Rattus norvegicus: one gene and its partners. The protein of the gene in region 1 purifies or fractionates together with the protein of each later gene. This does not show direct contact. Links are inferred from orthologs where the notes say so. Each region holds a gene or a part of one and is shown on either strand. Other genes may lie near its edges.

Evidence for each region.
Region 2: the proteins of Ptp4a2 (region 1) and Cnnm4 purify together in Homo sapiens (affinity purification with mass spectrometry; 6 studies listed by BioGRID and IntAct, counting the BioPlex papers as one, with this or other methods). This does not show direct contact. The link is inferred for Rattus norvegicus from reciprocal best matches to the Homo sapiens genes PTP4A2 and CNNM4.
Region 3: the proteins of Ptp4a2 (region 1) and Rabggtb purify together in Homo sapiens (affinity purification with mass spectrometry; 3 studies listed by BioGRID and IntAct, counting the BioPlex papers as one, with this or other methods). This does not show direct contact. The link is inferred for Rattus norvegicus from reciprocal best matches to the Homo sapiens genes PTP4A2 and RABGGTB.
Region 4: the proteins of Ptp4a2 (region 1) and Cnnm2 purify together in Homo sapiens (affinity purification with mass spectrometry; 4 studies listed by BioGRID and IntAct, counting the BioPlex papers as one, with this or other methods). This does not show direct contact. The link is inferred for Rattus norvegicus from reciprocal best matches to the Homo sapiens genes PTP4A2 and CNNM2.

Annotation. Positions count from the first base shown.
Region 1 is NC_086023.1:147,464,092-147,468,420, forward strand, and holds the start of Ptp4a2 (protein tyrosine phosphatase type IVA 2), read left to right. Parts: upstream 1-1,522; 5' UTR 1,523-1,933; coding exon 1,934-2,029; intron 2,030-4,329.
Region 2 is NC_086027.1:46,206,295-46,210,539, reverse strand, and holds the start of Cnnm4 (metal transporter CNNM4 precursor), read right to left. Parts: upstream 2,837-4,245; coding exon 1,441-2,836; intron 1-1,440. UniProt on the Homo sapiens protein: Probable metal transporter. The interaction with the metal ion chaperone COX11 suggests that it may play a role in sensory neuron functions. May play a role in biomineralization and retinal function.
Region 3 is NC_086020.1:245,507,946-245,512,131, forward strand, and holds the start of Rabggtb (geranylgeranyl transferase type-2 subunit beta), read right to left. Parts: upstream 2,835-4,186; 5' UTR 2,819-2,834; coding exon 2,816-2,818; exon of another isoform or gene 2,796-2,815; intron 2,087-2,795; exon of another isoform or gene 2,007-2,086; intron 1,906-2,006; coding exon 1,798-1,905; intron 1,572-1,797; exon of another isoform or gene 1,491-1,571; intron 853-1,490; coding exon 655-852; intron 576-654; exon of another isoform or gene 505-575; intron 296-504; coding exon 190-295; intron 78-189; exon of another isoform or gene 1-77. UniProt on the Homo sapiens protein: Catalyzes the transfer of a geranylgeranyl moiety from geranylgeranyl diphosphate to both cysteines of Rab proteins with the C-terminal sequence -XXCC, -XCXC and -CCXX, such as RAB1A, RAB3A, RAB5A and RAB7A.
Region 4 is NC_086019.1:255,583,894-255,587,965, forward strand, and holds the start of Cnnm2 (metal transporter CNNM2), read left to right. Parts: upstream 1-1,258; 5' UTR 1,259-1,367; coding exon 1,368-2,988; intron 2,989-4,072.

The DNA of each region.
Region 1 (4,329 bases):
AGTTATGAACTGCTTATTGTGGGTGTTGGAGATTTGAAGTCCTTTGCAAGAGTAGTTTACCCTCTCAACCATGAAATCATCTTTTAGCCCTAAAATTATTGTTTTTTTGGTTTTTTTTTTCTTTTTTCTTTTTTTCGGAGCTGGGGACCGAACCCAGGGCCTTGCGCTTGCTAGGCAAGTGCTCTACCGCTGAGCTAAATCCCCAATCCCATAATTATTGTTTCTTAGGGTCTTACTATATAGCCCTGGCTGGCATAGAACTTCTATGTAAACTAAGGTGGCTTCAAACATACAGAACTCCATCAGCTTCTGCTGTTTCTGCTTCCCAAGAGCCGAGATTAAAGGTGTATGTCACTAAGTCCACATTTAAAAAAAAATCCCTTAAATTATTTTTGATAGAACTTCTCACCGTATAGCTGTGTAGACAGAGTTGGCCTAAGAATTGTCATTTCCCTGTATGAACATCTTGAGTGCTGAGACTACAGCTATGCCTGGCTGATTTTGTGCTCTTGAGGCAGTGACAAAAAGGAAAACCTGGACCAGAAGAGCATTTATGTGTGCGTGAGCTGAGCCCGTAGACAGTGGGGATACATTAAAAAACAAACCACATGGCCCAGTTAATTTACTATGTGACTCAAGGCAAATCCTTTAACTTATAACAGCTCTTGTGTGCATGTAGACCAGGCTTGCCCTAAACTTGAATTTCTGATCTTCCTGCTTCTACCGTTCAGGTGCTAGGATTACTGGGTATGTGCCACACACCCATTTATGAGGTGCTGCCAGTCGAATTAATTAGACTTGTATGTTAGGCAAGCACTCCAACTGAGCTATACCTCCAGACCTGAAATAAAAAATTTAGCTGTGCTTAATGGATTAATATCATAATTGGGGAGCCAGTTCATATTTTAATATAATCAAATTTTTGAAGTAAAGTTATGTTAATTATCCTCAGCCTATTTACAAATGAATACCCTGTTTTAAACAGAATACATGTGAAAGAGCAAGTTACCAAAGCAGACAAATGCAGTCGCTTTGTGAGTTGAAGAGTTAAAAAGAGTCCATGGAAAGACATTTTCTTCAAGTACCCTTAATTTATTGGATGAATTTTTAAGATCTCAAGACAATGAAAAATGAGTTAGACATGATTATTGTAAGACCTGTGTTTAAGACCTTGTTATGTATGTCCCCCTTATCCCAATCTTTAAAGGTGTCGATAATTTAGCATTTGTTACATTTTACCTATTTTGGTCTCTTAGAGAATCTGTTCTTTCTGAAGGCTTCATGTTTATTCCGTTCTGTTATTCACTTCATTTTACCTGTTTTTTTCCCCCCCAGGTTTTTCGTTGGAATATACGTTGCACATTTATGGCGATTCTGAGCGTGAGGGCAGACTTCTGCCAGGCTCAGCACAGCCTTTTCGCTGACAAGTGAGCTTGGGGTTCTATGTGCCATAATTAACATTGCCTTGAAGACTCTGGACACCGAGACTGGCCTCAGAAGTAGTAGGCTTTTTTTTTTTTTTAAATTGCAAGCGTATTCTTTTAATGACTCCAGTAAAATTAAGCATCAAGTAAACAAAAGTGGAAAAGAACCTACACTTTTAACTTGTCTCACTAGTGCCTAAATGTAGTTTAAAGGCTGCTTAAATTTTGTGTGTAGTTGGATTTTTTGGAAGCTGAAGGTATCCATCTGCAGACATTGAGGCCCAAGTTGAATTTGGATTCAAGTGGATTCTTAACACTTCTGCCTGTGCTGAAGAGAAGCTTCATAAGGAACAAGCAAGTTGAATAGAGAAGATAGTGATCAATAAGAGGCATTTAGTGGTCTTTTTAATGTTTTCTGCTGCGAAACATTTCAAGATTTATTGATTTCCTCCTCCCCCATTCCCCCCACCACACTCACACACGCACGCTCACACTTTTTATTTGCCATAATGAACCGTCCAGCCCCTGTGGAGATCTCGTACGAGAACATGCGTTTTCTGATAACTCACAACCCAACCAATGCGACTCTCAACAAGTTCACCGAGGTAAGGTGGTGGCAGGGTCGACTTCCGGGTCAGCTTTTCTTAACTACGAAGGTTTAGCCTTTCATAGTTTACGTTGGGTTGAATTGTTACAATTTTGGAAGAATATGGAATTTGGAGATACTGTAGATTATCTAGTACTTCTAATTGTGTGTTCTTTCTGTGTTTATTAGCAGTATTTTTGCCATTTTTCAGTAAACTCAACATTTATTGACCACAGTATGTACTCAGCATTGCAGTAAGCACTGAATACTGTTTGTAAGGTCCAGGTACGACTATGAGACCACGGGTGCTATTGTTTTCTCCTTCTAGACGGAGCACCACTCAGCTTCAAAAGTCATTGTATGGGTAGAACTAGTACCTTAAGCCTGTCATGCATCCTAGTGCACATGTTAAGGGGTGAGCAAGATGGGTAAAGGAGCTTGTTGTCATGACAACCTAGATTCTATCCTTGGGAATATGAGAACTGATTCCTCCAGGTTGTCCTCTGACTTCTGCACATTGCCATAACACACATGTATGTCCCATATGCCCTAAATCAACGTGTAGTAATTAAAAACAATAAACTGATGTCATACTTCAACCACAAACTGCTTAGTAACAGCAGTTATTACAAGTACAGGAATCCAGAAACTTGGGGAAGGAAGTGGTCATGAGTAGTAAACATGGAGCCTCCTTTTTTCCTTTTTTCCTCCTTATGCAATGGAGAAAGTCTTTACTCTTCAGGGGAGATTTAAATATAAAGTCTTTAATCTTGTATAGATGATAGCATCAAATGTGAGTTCAGTTGATGTGTTGTGGAGTGGAGAGCAGCTGGAGGACCAGTCAGCCAGGGACTCTTGGTTATGGGTGGCAAAGCTGAGACCAAGTAGTTTTACCAATAAAAATTATAACAATATTTTGATGAGAAATAACCATGAAACTCATGTTAGCTCCCCACCCCCTATTTTTGTGGCTGGAAATGGAGCTCAGGGCCTCATGCATGTCAAGAGGGACAGTGCCACGAGCTGTGTCTCCAGCCCTTCTGTATTTACTTTCTATGTGAAGCACTCACAAAATTTCCCAGCCTGGCCTTAATCTAATTCTGTAGCTCAGATGATCCTTGTGGTCCTTCTGTTTAACCATCTAAGTAGAGATGACAAGTCTGTGCCACTAGAAATACTTATTTTTAAAATTCTAGCTGGGAGCTGGTGAGATGGTTCAGTGGGTAAAGGTCCTCACTACCAAAGCTGCTGACCTAAGCTCAACCCCAAAACCCATGTGGTAGAAGGAGAGACCGGAGATTGGAGTATTGTTCACAAGCACAGGCACAAAAATGAACAAATGTAAATAATTGTTTGTTAGGGTCTCACTGTATGGCCCTGTCTGCCTGCCTTTGTGTCTGGAGAGCCGCTCCTGGCCTGTATTCTGTTTAAAGGAATAACTGGCTATAATTGTGTACTAGCTCTTTTTTTTTTTTTTTTTTTTTTTTTTGTGGTTCTTTTTTTCCCCCCGGAGCTGGGACCGAACCCAGGGCCTTGCGCTTCCTAGGCAAGCGCTCTGCCACTGAGCTAAATCCCCAACCCCATGTACTAGCTCTTTTAAAATTACTTTTCCCCCCAATTTCAAAATTAAACTTTTGCTCTTTAGAAAAGCAATAGATGATTATCGCATAAAAATTAAAGCAGCCAGCCAGTGGAGGCACACACCTTTAAATCCTAGCCCTGGGGAGGCAGAGGCTGATCTCTGAATTCCAGGCCAGCCTGATCTTCAGAGCTAGTTCTAGGATACCCAGGGCTACACAAAGAAATACTGTCTTGGGGGGAAATAGAGAAGGCAAAATAAGAAGTAGGCATTAACCCAATAATTGGGAGTCGGGGACAGGTAGGTGGATCTCTGTAAATTCAAGGCAAGCCTGGTCTACAAATCAAGTTTCAGGACAGTCAGGGCTGTTAAACAGACACCCTATCTTGAAAATAGACAGCAAAATAACAGAAATTATAAAAACATTGAATTGTTAAATACCTTAGGCTTCTAGGTTTTGTTTCCCACATGTGTGTATATTCAGAAATACACATATGAGATCATACTACACATTTAAAACGGTTCCACCAGTCTCTTTTGTGTTACTTTTGTAGCCATCATAGAATTCACCGTATAGGTGTGCCATCCCTCTTTGGGAACGCTAATAGACAGTATTTATACCTTTCAGCATTCTGTTCTGTCTATGGTGAAGATGCTGTCCTGACCTTAGTACCTGCTTTCTGTGAAGTCCCAAGAATACAACTTCTAGGTCATTGTATATATGAACTTTTTTTTTTTTT
Region 2 (4,245 bases), on another chromosome or scaffold:
CCTTCAGCTGCAAGATGGAGGGAGGAGACACACTCCCCACTGCTCCTACTCAGAGCGAAACAGGCTCCTGGGTCTACAGCACTAACTCTCCTTCCATGCCATCCAGACTATCTCCTGTCCTGGTCACCATCCTCAAGATGCCCTTGGCTCTGATGCTGAGGATCTCTGTAGAAAACTTAAAAGGGAGAGTTGCCAACCTGCCTCCTTGGCCGTGACCCTGACCCAAGTGCGCCTTTGAAGATCAAACCTGGTAAGGCCATTTCTTCTCTCCTGATCCCATTTCAAGCCTGTCTACCACCTTCCGGATTCGGAAATGACCCCGGGCTTATCACAACTAGTGTTCAAATGTGGCTCCCGGGTCAGCCGAGCCTTAGCCAGAAACAGCTCTATGTACAGGAGGAAGGTTGGGACCAGGACTGTGAAGCAAAGTCATATGAGCTTCAGGGTCTCCTCTACAGAGTTCCCTTTCTTCCTCCTCACCTCCTTCACCCTAGGAGAGTTTTACTCTAGAGCTGCCTTGTTTACAGCCACTTTTGGGAGTTTCGGGGCAGAAGAGGGAGGAAGTCTTTGCTGGCAATAAGGAAAATGGTGTGTGCCCTGAGCTTGGAGGCAAGGGAGTAGACCCTCTTAAGTGCCTACTTACGGGGGAGCTAGCCAAGCACACACACACACATCACATACACACACACACACACACACAGCAAGGCCACCTGAAGACTGGGAGTGGGGGCAAGTTTATGTTTGACTCTTGGGAAAGATGGAGCAGTAACCAAAGCTCTCCCTCCATGCTTCTGCTAAACAGCAGAAACTGTGGGAGTTCCGAGTTGGGAGCCCAGGAGAGACCTCCCAATTTTGCTTGTGGGCTGGAGGGTGAGTGATACTACGCTGCCACAAAATCTAGAGCTCCAAACCTGGGGCAAACTCGAGGGGGAAAGTGTGAAAATATCCAAGCTGTCCCCTGGTGGTCATGGGTCAGAAGAGCCAGGAGGTCCACTAGAACCACAAAACAATCCTCACAAGAGCGGTGCAACCCAGTCCCAAGTCACTTCATCAGTCAAGATTCCCCTCAAATGTTTTCCCCTGTGACAACATCCTCAGCTCCCAGACTACTTCCCCTCACCACCCTTTACGTCTCCATGAGGCCTGGTGGCTGCTTTTCAGCCACGAGCCTTACCCTGTATCCCTCCCGCAGCTCCAGACAAGTGTGTCTCCTTCAGCTTGGATTCAACTAAACACAGAGCACAGTGAGAGCTGCTTCTGCTGCGCCTGTGATAACGTTCACCCCAGAGGTACAGGAAATGATGGACAGAGGGACCCAGAGTCAATTGCACAAACAGAAGAGTGAAACAGAAAACAGAGAGCACGCAGGAGATGCTTCAGGGAAAGTGGTGGGGGGAGATATCAAAAGGACATTTAACCAGGAGCCACCCCAGTCCTTACCCTTCTTGAATTCCTCCAGCATGGCATCCAGCTTGGTGTCATGAAAAACAAAATGGACCGGGTGGTTGTAGAAGCGAGTGATCGTCTTGAGCGGGGTGCAGTCATCTGGGTCAACAAAAGCCAGGTCTTTGACGTAAAGGATATCTACGATATTGGACTGCTCATCTTCAAACACAGGAATGCGAGTATAGCCACTCTCCATAATCTCCGACATGGTGTTGAAGTCCAGAATGGCATCACTGCGGATCATGAAGCAGTCGTGTAGCTGGGTCATGATATCCTCCACAGTTTTGGTCCTTAGTTCCAGAGCACCCTGGATCATGTTTAACTCCTCCTTCACCAGGTCATTATAGGGCTCTGTCACCTTCAACATCTCCATCAGTTTCTCCCGATTGTAAACAGTGCGAATCTCCTGACCCAAGACGAAGTCCAGGAGTTTGCTAATGGGGAAACTCAGGGGGAAAGTGAGTAACATAAAGATTTTGGTGAGAACAATAGTGTTGGCACCCACAGCCAGCCCATGCCTGGAGCACAGGGCTTGAGGTAAGATCTCCCCAAAGATGACAATGCCAATGGTGGAGGAGGCCACTGCCATGATGCCAGAACCGATGAGGTTGTCTAGAAGGATGGTGAGGGAGGTGTTGACTAGCACATTCCCCAGGAGCAGCGAGCAGAGCAGGTAGTTGCCCTTGCGCCTGATGGGCTCTATCTTGCGAGCGTACCTTCTCTCCTTCTCAGTTCCACAGTTCTGCACGATGCGCAACTCCATCGGGTCCAGGGCCATAAGCCCCAAGTTGAGGCCAGAAAAGATGCCCGACAGCACCAACAGCACCAAAACAAGAAGGATGTGCAGCCAGAGCGGCAGAAACCTCCCATGCTCCTCCACCATGAAGAGCAGGGAGTCCTTGTCCGTCCATTTGAGCCAGGGCCCGTCGGCCCGGGTCCGGGTGCACAGCGCGTACAGCTTCATGTTCTCACTCCTCCGCAGGAACTTGGTAATCACCACTAGCATCCCCGACGTGTTCCCGCGGCTCACGTTGACCAGCCGCTGGACCACTAAGTCCTTGGTGAGCTCCAGGCAGTTGGTGGAGTTGTGGACCGTCTCGGCGTCGTCCACCTCGGTGAAGGAGATCAGGTTGCTAGAGATCTCGCCCAGTCTGTGGCCGTAGAGCCTCAAGTTCACCGTGCTGCCCTCGGACACGAAGATGATGCCATCCGGGTTCATCCCGCACGACTTGTTGCAGCTCGCCAGCCTCATGCCTAGGATCACGCTCTGCTGGGGGCTGCTCTGGCCGCTGGCCGCCCGCGTCCATAGCAGCAGCAGCAGCGCGGCCAGGAGGAGGCGCCCTCGGGCCGGCCAGCCGTCCCGCCGCCCGCCCCCGCCCCCCGGCGCCATGTTGCTCCGGCCCCGCCGCTGCCCGCGCCCCGCCGCGCGCCTCACTCGGCGCCGCCGCTCCTGCCCTCCTGCCGCTCCGCCGCCGCCGCGCCAACTGCCCCAGGAGAGGGCCTGACGTCAGACCGCGCCCCGCCCGCCCCGCCCCGCCGCCCCACGCCCCTTATTTGCATGCGAGGTCCCGCCCCTACCCAGGGCTCGCGCTCCGGGCTTAAGGAGGTCTGAGCGCTTAAGGTGGAACGGCGCGAGGCGAGCGCGGGAGCCTGCGGCGGGGGTGCGCCCAGCCCAGCCTCCGCGCCGCGCGCGGCTTCTCCCGAGCTCCTCCTTAGGGAGCCCGGCTCCCAGGCCTCACGCGCCTGGCTGCTTCCGGGTCCCCTGCACTCTGTTGCTCCGTTCTAGGGCGGGTGTGCTTCTCCACAAGCACAGCGAGAAAAAAGCATGCCATTTCCTGGTTTAGAAAAAGAAAAGGGAACCTGAGGGCTCAGGCTGGCATTACAGCCTCCTCACTTCTGGTATTTTTGCTGGCCTTGACCCAAGGCCAGAAATAGATTGTCTCTGCCCCCGAACTCCCCCAGCCCACCGGTCGCTTCTGTCTGGAGACCACCAGCCCCCTAAGGTGCTGAGGATTCAGGCTCTGAGCTAGGTTTTTCACCTGTCATTTCTATTTAGGGATGTTTTCATTGAATATGTATACTTGCAGACTCTAACAATAAGGCAACGAACACGCCAAAATTCTTGCACACCTTAGTTTACAGCCTAGCATCAGAAAAAATGGCAATAAGCAAGTATAGCTATACGGGGCGGGGGGTGGTGGTGGTGGCGGGAGGGGGAGCTCAATAAACAAATACACACAGGAACAGTTATTGAATCCTTCTGGCCACGTGAAGTATTTTATATCTTACAGATTTGAACCTAGGCACAAATCTTAGGCCTTTCAGATCTCCACCGTTAATCCTAGTTCCTGTCTGTAAACGGCGGTAAGAATGACTATTGAGACAAGATCTTACATAGCCCAATATGGCTTTGAACTCTTCAAATCTAAGGCTACCGTGAACTCCCCGATCCTCCATCCATAGACTCCCAAGTGCAGGGTTTACAGGCATGCACCACCATGCCTGGGTTGATTTGATTGTTCAGCTATGGGTTCAGTTTTTAATTTGATGGCAGGAAGAGTGATAACACAGCATCACCTGGCTAAAGCAAGTGAGAACAATTGGCTTACACATCAAACATGACATGACAACTCTCTGTGAATAGTCTTTGCCTGTGTAGTAATAGTCATTGCTGCCTGCTCTTTCAGAACCGTACCCTTAACCCCAAATTGTGGTGACTGGCCAGCTGAGGCAGCTGCTTGTGGAAATGAACCGAGAGGTGTGGCTGCTGTTCTAGCCTTGAGATCACTGCTTCCTGGT
Region 3 (4,186 bases), on another chromosome or scaffold:
TAGTGTGGCGTGCTGACAAGCCAGCACGGGGCATGCTGGGACTTCCAGCAGGCCATTTTACTCCAGTTAGACCAACTGCTTAGTGGGACCTGAAAAGATGAACAACTTGAAATCTTATGATTACTACACCAAGACAAAAGATGCTCCGAGTGGAGTAGCTTGACTAAAAAAAGTGAAAGCCGATCTTACCCCAGATGTCTCCAGCAAAGGAACCATCTTCTTTCTGTAGACTCTGAACATAGGCTACCACTTTGTCTACGTTGATTACATGGATGCTATCATACAGAGTGAGAATCTGAAAGACAAGCATCGCAGGAATTTGTCCTGGGCCAACCACCATGCCCTTCCCCATTACTATAAATGGCTCACACGCGCCGGCTGTTACTCATTTCATTACAATTTCTTATTCCTTTGATAATTTGACAGAGGTAGGCTTTACCCGCCCTCTCGCTCCTCACTAAAACCAACTCTAACCTGGACTGACACAGATGCATTTTACCCTCCCAGGTCTCAGTGCCATTTGTAACTTGCATCAAGTTAGCATTCAGCTAATACATGCCATGACATCACTGACCTGTAGGAGAGAATTCACTCTAAAGGCGGGCAATTAACATTTGGGTCGTCACATAGGGTCAATGTTTCACAAGGGCTTACCTGGACAGCACTGAGCGTGTAGAGAAGGTGGGGGTCGTGCCCGATGCTGGCACTGACTCCCCCACACTCATGCTGGCACGACTTGATAAACACCAGTATCTCCTCTTTATTCATCCGATGAAGCTGCCCCATGAGGTCCATCACTGTCAGGCCCCAGTAGACGCCGCTCATTCTCAAGTATTCGGACATGCAGTATTCCTGGGAGAAGTGTCTTAAATTTGTCACTCTTGACTACAAAACCCACCTTTACCTAGGTCAGCTGTGAACAACTTTAAGAGCATCGGTTCTCACCCCTTTGGGTCCGACATTACAGCAAAATTAAGTCTTGAACTAATGAAACTATCTTATGGTTGGGGCTCACCACAACATGCAGAACTGTATGGTACGACAGGGTTGCAGCATCAGGAAGATTGAGAACAAACTTTAATAGTTTCCAAGTGCCAACTTCAGGTGAATTTAGTAGGCAACATTCACTCCTTCAGTCTACCAAACACCAATTACTGCATTTTACAAGGTCTATGAATACGGAGAGATAAATGGTGCTGGAGATGGAAACCAAATCAAGCATCATTTCACAAGCGTTCACTCAGGTACAGGTGTCATTGGTGTGCTGCCAAGCCAAACCAAACGCCTAAAGGGCCAGGCGGACAGTTGACATAAGGACCATTTAGGCCTATGATTCCCCCCCTCCCAAAATAAGGGTCTGATTACCCATGTGATTCCTCTTTGGAGAGGGTCTCCCCACAAAGCCCGGGGTTTCCAGCTCTACCCCTTGCTGGAGATTATCACAGGGGTGTGGTAACCTCCCTATTATACTGTTTAGGTAAAACCTTTTCAAGGTCTCAGCGTAATTCTAGAGCTCAAATGTTAGGACACATCAGCAAATTCAGATAATACATGCCAACACATCATTGACCTTCAAGGTTATACCCCAGACAGAAAGGAGTAAACCCCTTCTACCTGCATCCCTGTATTCTGGCCCTTTGTGTACCGGTATGCAAGGCTAATGCTATCCAGTATCAACCTCTAGTATACCAGGCCCATCTATCCTAATGGACTTTAAATCAGGCCTCTGCCAACAGACAACGCTTTAAGAAACAGGCCTGTCCATTAGTATTAAACTAACAAGAAACTCATACACACATAATCATCTTTCTTTGAGCCGTACGAGGCGATATAATCAGCATGCTTCTCGAGCAGCAGGGTGTCAGGCGCATCTGACTTGATGGTGACGTCCTTCTGCTGTGTGCCCTTCGAAGAAAAACAGAGACTGGATCATTACGTTTTCCTTTCGACATCCTGAAAACTTGACAGCCCAGACTCGTATGACCAGATGACGGCACTTTTTTTTTCGGGTCTCAGAGTAATTCTAGAGCTAAAGTGGTTATTAATCAACTTTAGATTCAGAATACATGCCAGCTCATCATTGACCCGAATTCTGCCGCTCACCTTTTTGCCGACCAAGTGCAATACACACTCTCGATCGGTGAATTTGAAGCTTCAGTGCACTGTTCAACAGTCCTCAAATATTATCTCCTTTACTAAACGATCAGGCCCATTAGCTCCAAATTTCACCTTCGGATCTAAGATATTCGCCATCACCCATTAAGTAGGTCAAAGCAAATCCACTGCCAAATAAGTTATTTTTCTATTTTGTTCAGAGTCTCGGCTATGAAGCCCTGTGTGGTCTGGAACTCCCCGTGTAGACCAGGCTGCCTGCTACTGCTTCAGGAGTGATACGATTAAAAGGCGTGGGCCAAGGCCGGCCTTCTTCCATCCCAATTAGAATATTTAACTTTGAAACAATATTCGTAAATGATCATTGAACCCTGAAAAAAACAGGCACACACAAGTCTCCGATGCAAAGGGAAAAAAAAAAAAGGCGGCTCAATCCAGAGAGGCTCGCCTACGGGCCGCGGATAACATCACAACCCTCGAGAACTGCAGAAAACGCTGAGCCATTGCTCAAGGAGCGGTCTAAGACCGGCCTCAGAAGGCCGAGGCAGGAGCATTGCTGAGAGCTCACAAGAAGAATGCAAGAAGAATGCTAGCCTTGCATGCCCGCCCGCTCCCCGTGCTGCGCCAGCCCACGATGCGGAGCAGCTTGACCCACCGCCCAGGCCTCCCCAACTTCCGCGCACCAAAGCGATGTCGCTCTCACCATGTCCGACCGCCGAAAGACTGAAGAGCGCGGGAGCACGGAAAGTCAGGGTCTGCGCGCCTGCGCACAGGCGCCCGCCCGGCAGCCCACGCCCTACCTAGCCGGCCACGCTCCGCCCGAAGGACCCCGCGGTCACGATTTAGCCGGCCGCACTCCTGCCTGAAGGACTCCGCGGTCACGGTGCAGCAGGCTATGCGTCTGCCTGAAGGACCCCATGTCACTCAGTTTGTAAAGAGCTTTCCTAGCACTCAAAGAGGCCGGGGGTTGATTTCAACCTTTGCGTATAAACCCGAAGTGTTAGTGCAGACCTATTATCTTAGCAGTGGAAAAGTGGTGGCAGGAGGATCAGTGGTCCAAATCATCGGCCGTGTAGGCACTTGGAAGCCATCCTGAGCTAGAGGTCCCTACCTACTCCCCATAAAATTGATCAATTTTAGTGTGTCTGTTACCCAGCTAATGAAAAATATATTGCCACATATATTACTATGGAAAAATACCATGTGAAAATGGATGCTTGGGTTTGATTCCAGAAACCGCTAGAATAAGGCTAGTTTTTCCACTCTGTATTGGTAAATTTGTATGGTTTAACTCTAACTTTTAATATTTATTTTAAAAGCCCCAAGCCTTGAACTCACAACTGAAAATGCTAGGCATGCTATCTCCCCAGTCCACTTTGCCTCTTCAAAGACTAAAATATGCCTCCCGACCCCAAAGAACTGTTGCTGCAATAAAACAGGTCTATAAATTCTTCTATCTCTCCAAAGCCAAGATGTCAGATACAGCCACGTCAGGGATTTGAATGTGGCCAGTCTAAACTGAAAAATGCTGTAGTCATAAAATACAAATTGTGTGCCAAGCTTCTCATTTTGAAGTTTGTTTGTTGACTGCCTTCTGAATATCTATGCTTATGCCCGTAGAAAACGCTACTCTCAGCCCAAATCAGATAAGCCTTTCTATGCAGGGGACGACAGTGAATACAGAGATTCACGACTGCCCAAGGTTATCTGGAGAATACATTAGTTGAGGGATGACCTCTAAAAGCCTAGTGACTATCATAAAAGAGGGCAGCAGAAAGAATATAAGAGAAGATAATAGGAAAAGGCCCAGAAGCCATCTTCTGAGCATGACAACCACTGCAGCCTTGAACTCAGAGCCACTGTGTTTATCTGCACTGAGCTTCACACAAATGACCCTGACGGACAGTCACGGATGAGGAAGGGACTCAGGGGCCCTGCCCCTCTCTGCTGACCTAATGGGTACAGACACACACTGGGAAATGGGGAGTCATTATTCAGACGTGTGCCTGCTGGTAAGCTGACCAGGCATCGGTGGACTGCTCCAACCCCATGGTCATACAGGCAGCCCCAGTTA
Region 4 (4,072 bases), on another chromosome or scaffold:
CTCATCCTGGAAATTATAAAAAATACTTAGGGTATTGACAAAGAGGAAGGCTATTGTGATTACGGAATACAAAGTAAGACCAGGAAAACATTTTTTTTTTAAAACGCGCTTCAGTTGTGAGGCAGAAAGTTCAATTTGGGAGCTGCTGTGCTACCGCATCTACTCTGAAGATTTGAGAGTCTTGGCAATCTGTGCTCCAGAATCTATCTTCTCTGGAGCTAACAGCATTTGGCCAGTGCATTTCAGAGGAAGCTTTCAGGGGCCTTCTTAGGAAGCTCTCCCCTTCCTGTTTCCCAAAATTGCCAGGGTGCACGTTAAACCAAACCAAACCAAACCAAACCAAACCAAAAACAGGACCCATCTCATTCTGTGATTATAGCACGACTACAGGAGAATTCCTGTGATTACAAAGTTTGGGAAGCTGACCACACACACTTTGAGGGGTTTGCTGAGAGCTAGCAAACATCAAAGGTCGCCCGTGAGGGCCGGCAGGTGGCGCCACATGATCGTGAGCAGTTGAGGGCGCTCAGAGGCGCGGAGATCGCAGAAAGTCCTCAGCGTTGCTAGGGCCACCCTGTCACCGCGAATCTCCAGAGGAGTTGCAAGCAGGAGTAGTGGGCTGGGGGCTTGACTAGTATCCCTATTTGGTTTTAGGCTGTGTGCACCGTAAGTTGTCTCCAGTCGGCTCTGGTGCTCCCAGGGAAGGAGGGCTCAGCCCTTTCTGCGCTGACACGGAGCCCTGTGGAGCCCGCAAGGCCCTGCAGCAAGGACTTGAGGCCTCGCGCCTCAGGGCAGTATTGCAGGGCTGCCAAGCCCGCGCGCGAGGATCTACTACAGAGACCCCACAGGGAGCGCCGCACCCGCGGACCGCTCCTTTTCATTGGTTGACTGGAGGAAGACCACGCCCCCATCCCTACAGTGCTCATCTTTGACTGGCTCTTGCGTCTGGGATGGCCACGCCCCCTCCCCTCGCATACACAAGAGTCACGCGCCTTTCAGTTGGAAACTTGGCATGCTGAGGAGGACAGTGGCCCTCTTCTCCCCGCCCACCTCCCGTGCCATTGGTGCGGCACGCCGACTGCGACCACGCCCCCATTCCAGCCCCCTGGCTGGGAAGGCGGGCACCCGCTCTTGATTGGTTGGCAGACCTGCCTCTCGCGGGAGAGGCTAGCACGCCCCTCCCTCCCCTCCCTCCTCCCTCGAGCCCGGGGGTTCCTCAGCTGGCTCAGTCCGAATCAGTGTCATTCAGAGAGAAGGACAGCTGAGGGCTGGGCGCGAACGCGCGGTTGCAGTCCCGCTCGGGCGCCGGTGCCTGCGCTCGCGCCGCCGGGTGGGAAGGATGAAGCCTCAGCTGGAGCAGCCACCCTATGATTGGCTGTGGAGCTTGTGAACCCGAAGTAAAGATGGCGGGCGGGCAGGCAGCCGCCGCACTGCCCACTTGGAAGATGGCGGCGCGCCGCAGCCTCAGTGCCCGCGGCCGGGGGGTCCTGCAGGCAGCTGCGGGCCGGCTGCTGCCGCTGCTACTGCTGAGCTGCTGCTGCAGCGCGGGCGGCTGCACAGCGGCCGGCGAGAACGAGGAGACTGTGATCATCGGACTGCGGCTGGAGGATACGAACGACGTGTCGTTCATGGAAGGGGGTGCTCTGCGGGTGAGCGAGCGGACCCGGGTCAAGCTGCGGGTGTACGGGCAGAACATCAACAACGAGACATGGTCCCGCATCGCCTTCACTGAGCACGAGCGGCGCCGGCACACACCCGGCGAGCGTGGGCTGGGGGGCCCCGCGCCTCCGGAGCCGGACAGTGGCCCCCAGCGCTGCGGCATCCGCACCTCAGACATCATCATCTTGCCCCACATCATTCTCAATCGCCGCACATCGGGCATCATTGAGATCGAGATCAAACCGCTGCGCAAGATGGAGAAGAGCAAGTCTTATTACCTGTGCACGTCTCTCTCCACGCCCGCATTGGGCGCCGGCGGCTCCGGGTCTGCGAGTGGCACCGTCGGGGGCAAGGGTGGCGCGGGGGTGGCTGGACTCCCGCCTCCTCCCTGGGCCGAGACCACCTGGATTTACCACGACGGTGAGGACACCAAGATGATAGTGGGCGAGGAGAAGAAGTTCTTGCTGCCCTTCTGGCTGCAAGTGATCTTCATCTCGCTGCTGCTGTGCCTGTCCGGCATGTTCAGCGGCCTCAACCTGGGGCTCATGGCTCTGGACCCGATGGAGCTGCGCATCGTGCAAAACTGCGGCACGGAGAAAGAGAAGAATTATGCCAAGCGCATCGAGCCGGTGCGCAGGCAGGGCAACTACCTGCTGTGCTCGCTGCTGCTGGGAAACGTACTAGTCAACACCACGCTCACCATCCTGCTCGACGACATTGCGGGCTCAGGCCTTGTGGCGGTGGTGGTCTCCACCATTGGCATCGTCATCTTCGGAGAAATCGTGCCCCAAGCCATTTGCTCCCGACACGGCCTGGCGGTAGGGGCCAATACCATCTTCCTCACCAAGTTTTTCATGATGATGACCTTCCCCGCTTCTTACCCGGTTAGCAAACTGCTGGACTGCGTCCTGGGCCAGGAGATAGGCACTGTCTATAACCGGGAAAAACTGCTAGAGATGCTCCGGGTTACTGACCCCTACAACGACCTCGTTAAGGAGGAGCTGAACATCATCCAAGGGGCGCTGGAGCTCCGCACCAAGACGGTGGAGGACGTGATGACTCCCCTCAGGGACTGCTTCATGATCACCGGCGAGGCTATCCTGGACTTCAACACCATGTCTGAGATCATGGAGAGTGGCTACACTCGAATCCCAGTGTTCGAGGGAGAACGGTCCAACATCGTGGATCTGCTCTTTGTCAAAGACTTGGCCTTCGTGGATCCAGATGACTGTACTCCCTTGAAAACCATCACCAAATTTTACAACCACCCTTTGCACTTTGTTTTCAATGACACCAAGTTGGACGCTATGCTGGAAGAATTTAAGAAAGGTGGGCAATTTTGCTAATTTTTTAATTGGCTTTGCTCTTTCTGTCTCCATCCTCCTCCCTCCTTGAGTCCTCTACCCCCAGACCAACCCCCCAAGGAGAGTTGACCGGAATTTCTCCCTTCCTTAATTGCAAAGTTGAAAGGATGGCATGGACTTGGGGACGGATTGAACTAGTGAGCACTTCTAGGTTTAAAAGCCCGAGACTGTCATTGCTTTTTCACATCATCCAAAAACAGGCTTTGTAATTTCAGTGCTTGAAACTTGACCCTCTAGGGGCCTCTTGAGGGATCTGCTTCATTCATTGTCTGGGTCCTGAATAGGTAGGTGAATGTACAGATGGGCTCCCTAGATGCCCTTGGGTTACATCTGATCACAGACGTTTGGAAAATATTTAAGTAGCCTTAAAAAGCCCAGTGTAATCCTTTTTTCCTTCCTTAAACACCCATGCTGACATCTCAAAGATTGGAAGTATATTTTTGTCCTTGAATATCTGGCATCCTACAGGGTAGACTGAGGTCTTTGAGGGTGGATCGGGGTAAAGAACGTACCATTCTAAATCCTTGCATTATTTGGATATGACTTCTCAGGCTGGGAAATGGGGTTTGTTTTGTATAAAGCAAACTTAGTTATTAATATATAACTTGGAAAGGTTAGCGGTAAGTTAACTTTTTATGAGGCTATAACTGTCTTCTTCATTGTTTCTGCTTATCTGACAGCAAGTACAATTCCCTAATGCAAGTGTGGTTTGGCAGCAAGCTTGAACCTGTAATAGTGGGATGCATACCATTCTTAATTATGATTTATTTCTTAATTTTTTTAAAGTGTTCTTCTTTTAACCTTGATCTCTTGATATGTTAACATGAAGTATGTCTCCAGGCTCTAAGGTATTAGTCAGGAAGAGGCAAAGGCCCAGTGTCCGCCATGTGGGCACTCACAGCACATCATTTTTTTGCACTGTGGTGTTGCCTGTCTTATTTTGTCATAAATAGGGGAATAGCAACCAGCGCTATTATTACTGAGACTTTGAAAGTTGCCAGTAAATAGCTGGTGTTGTTGAAAACCAAGGGATGCTGAGTCTTGTCACT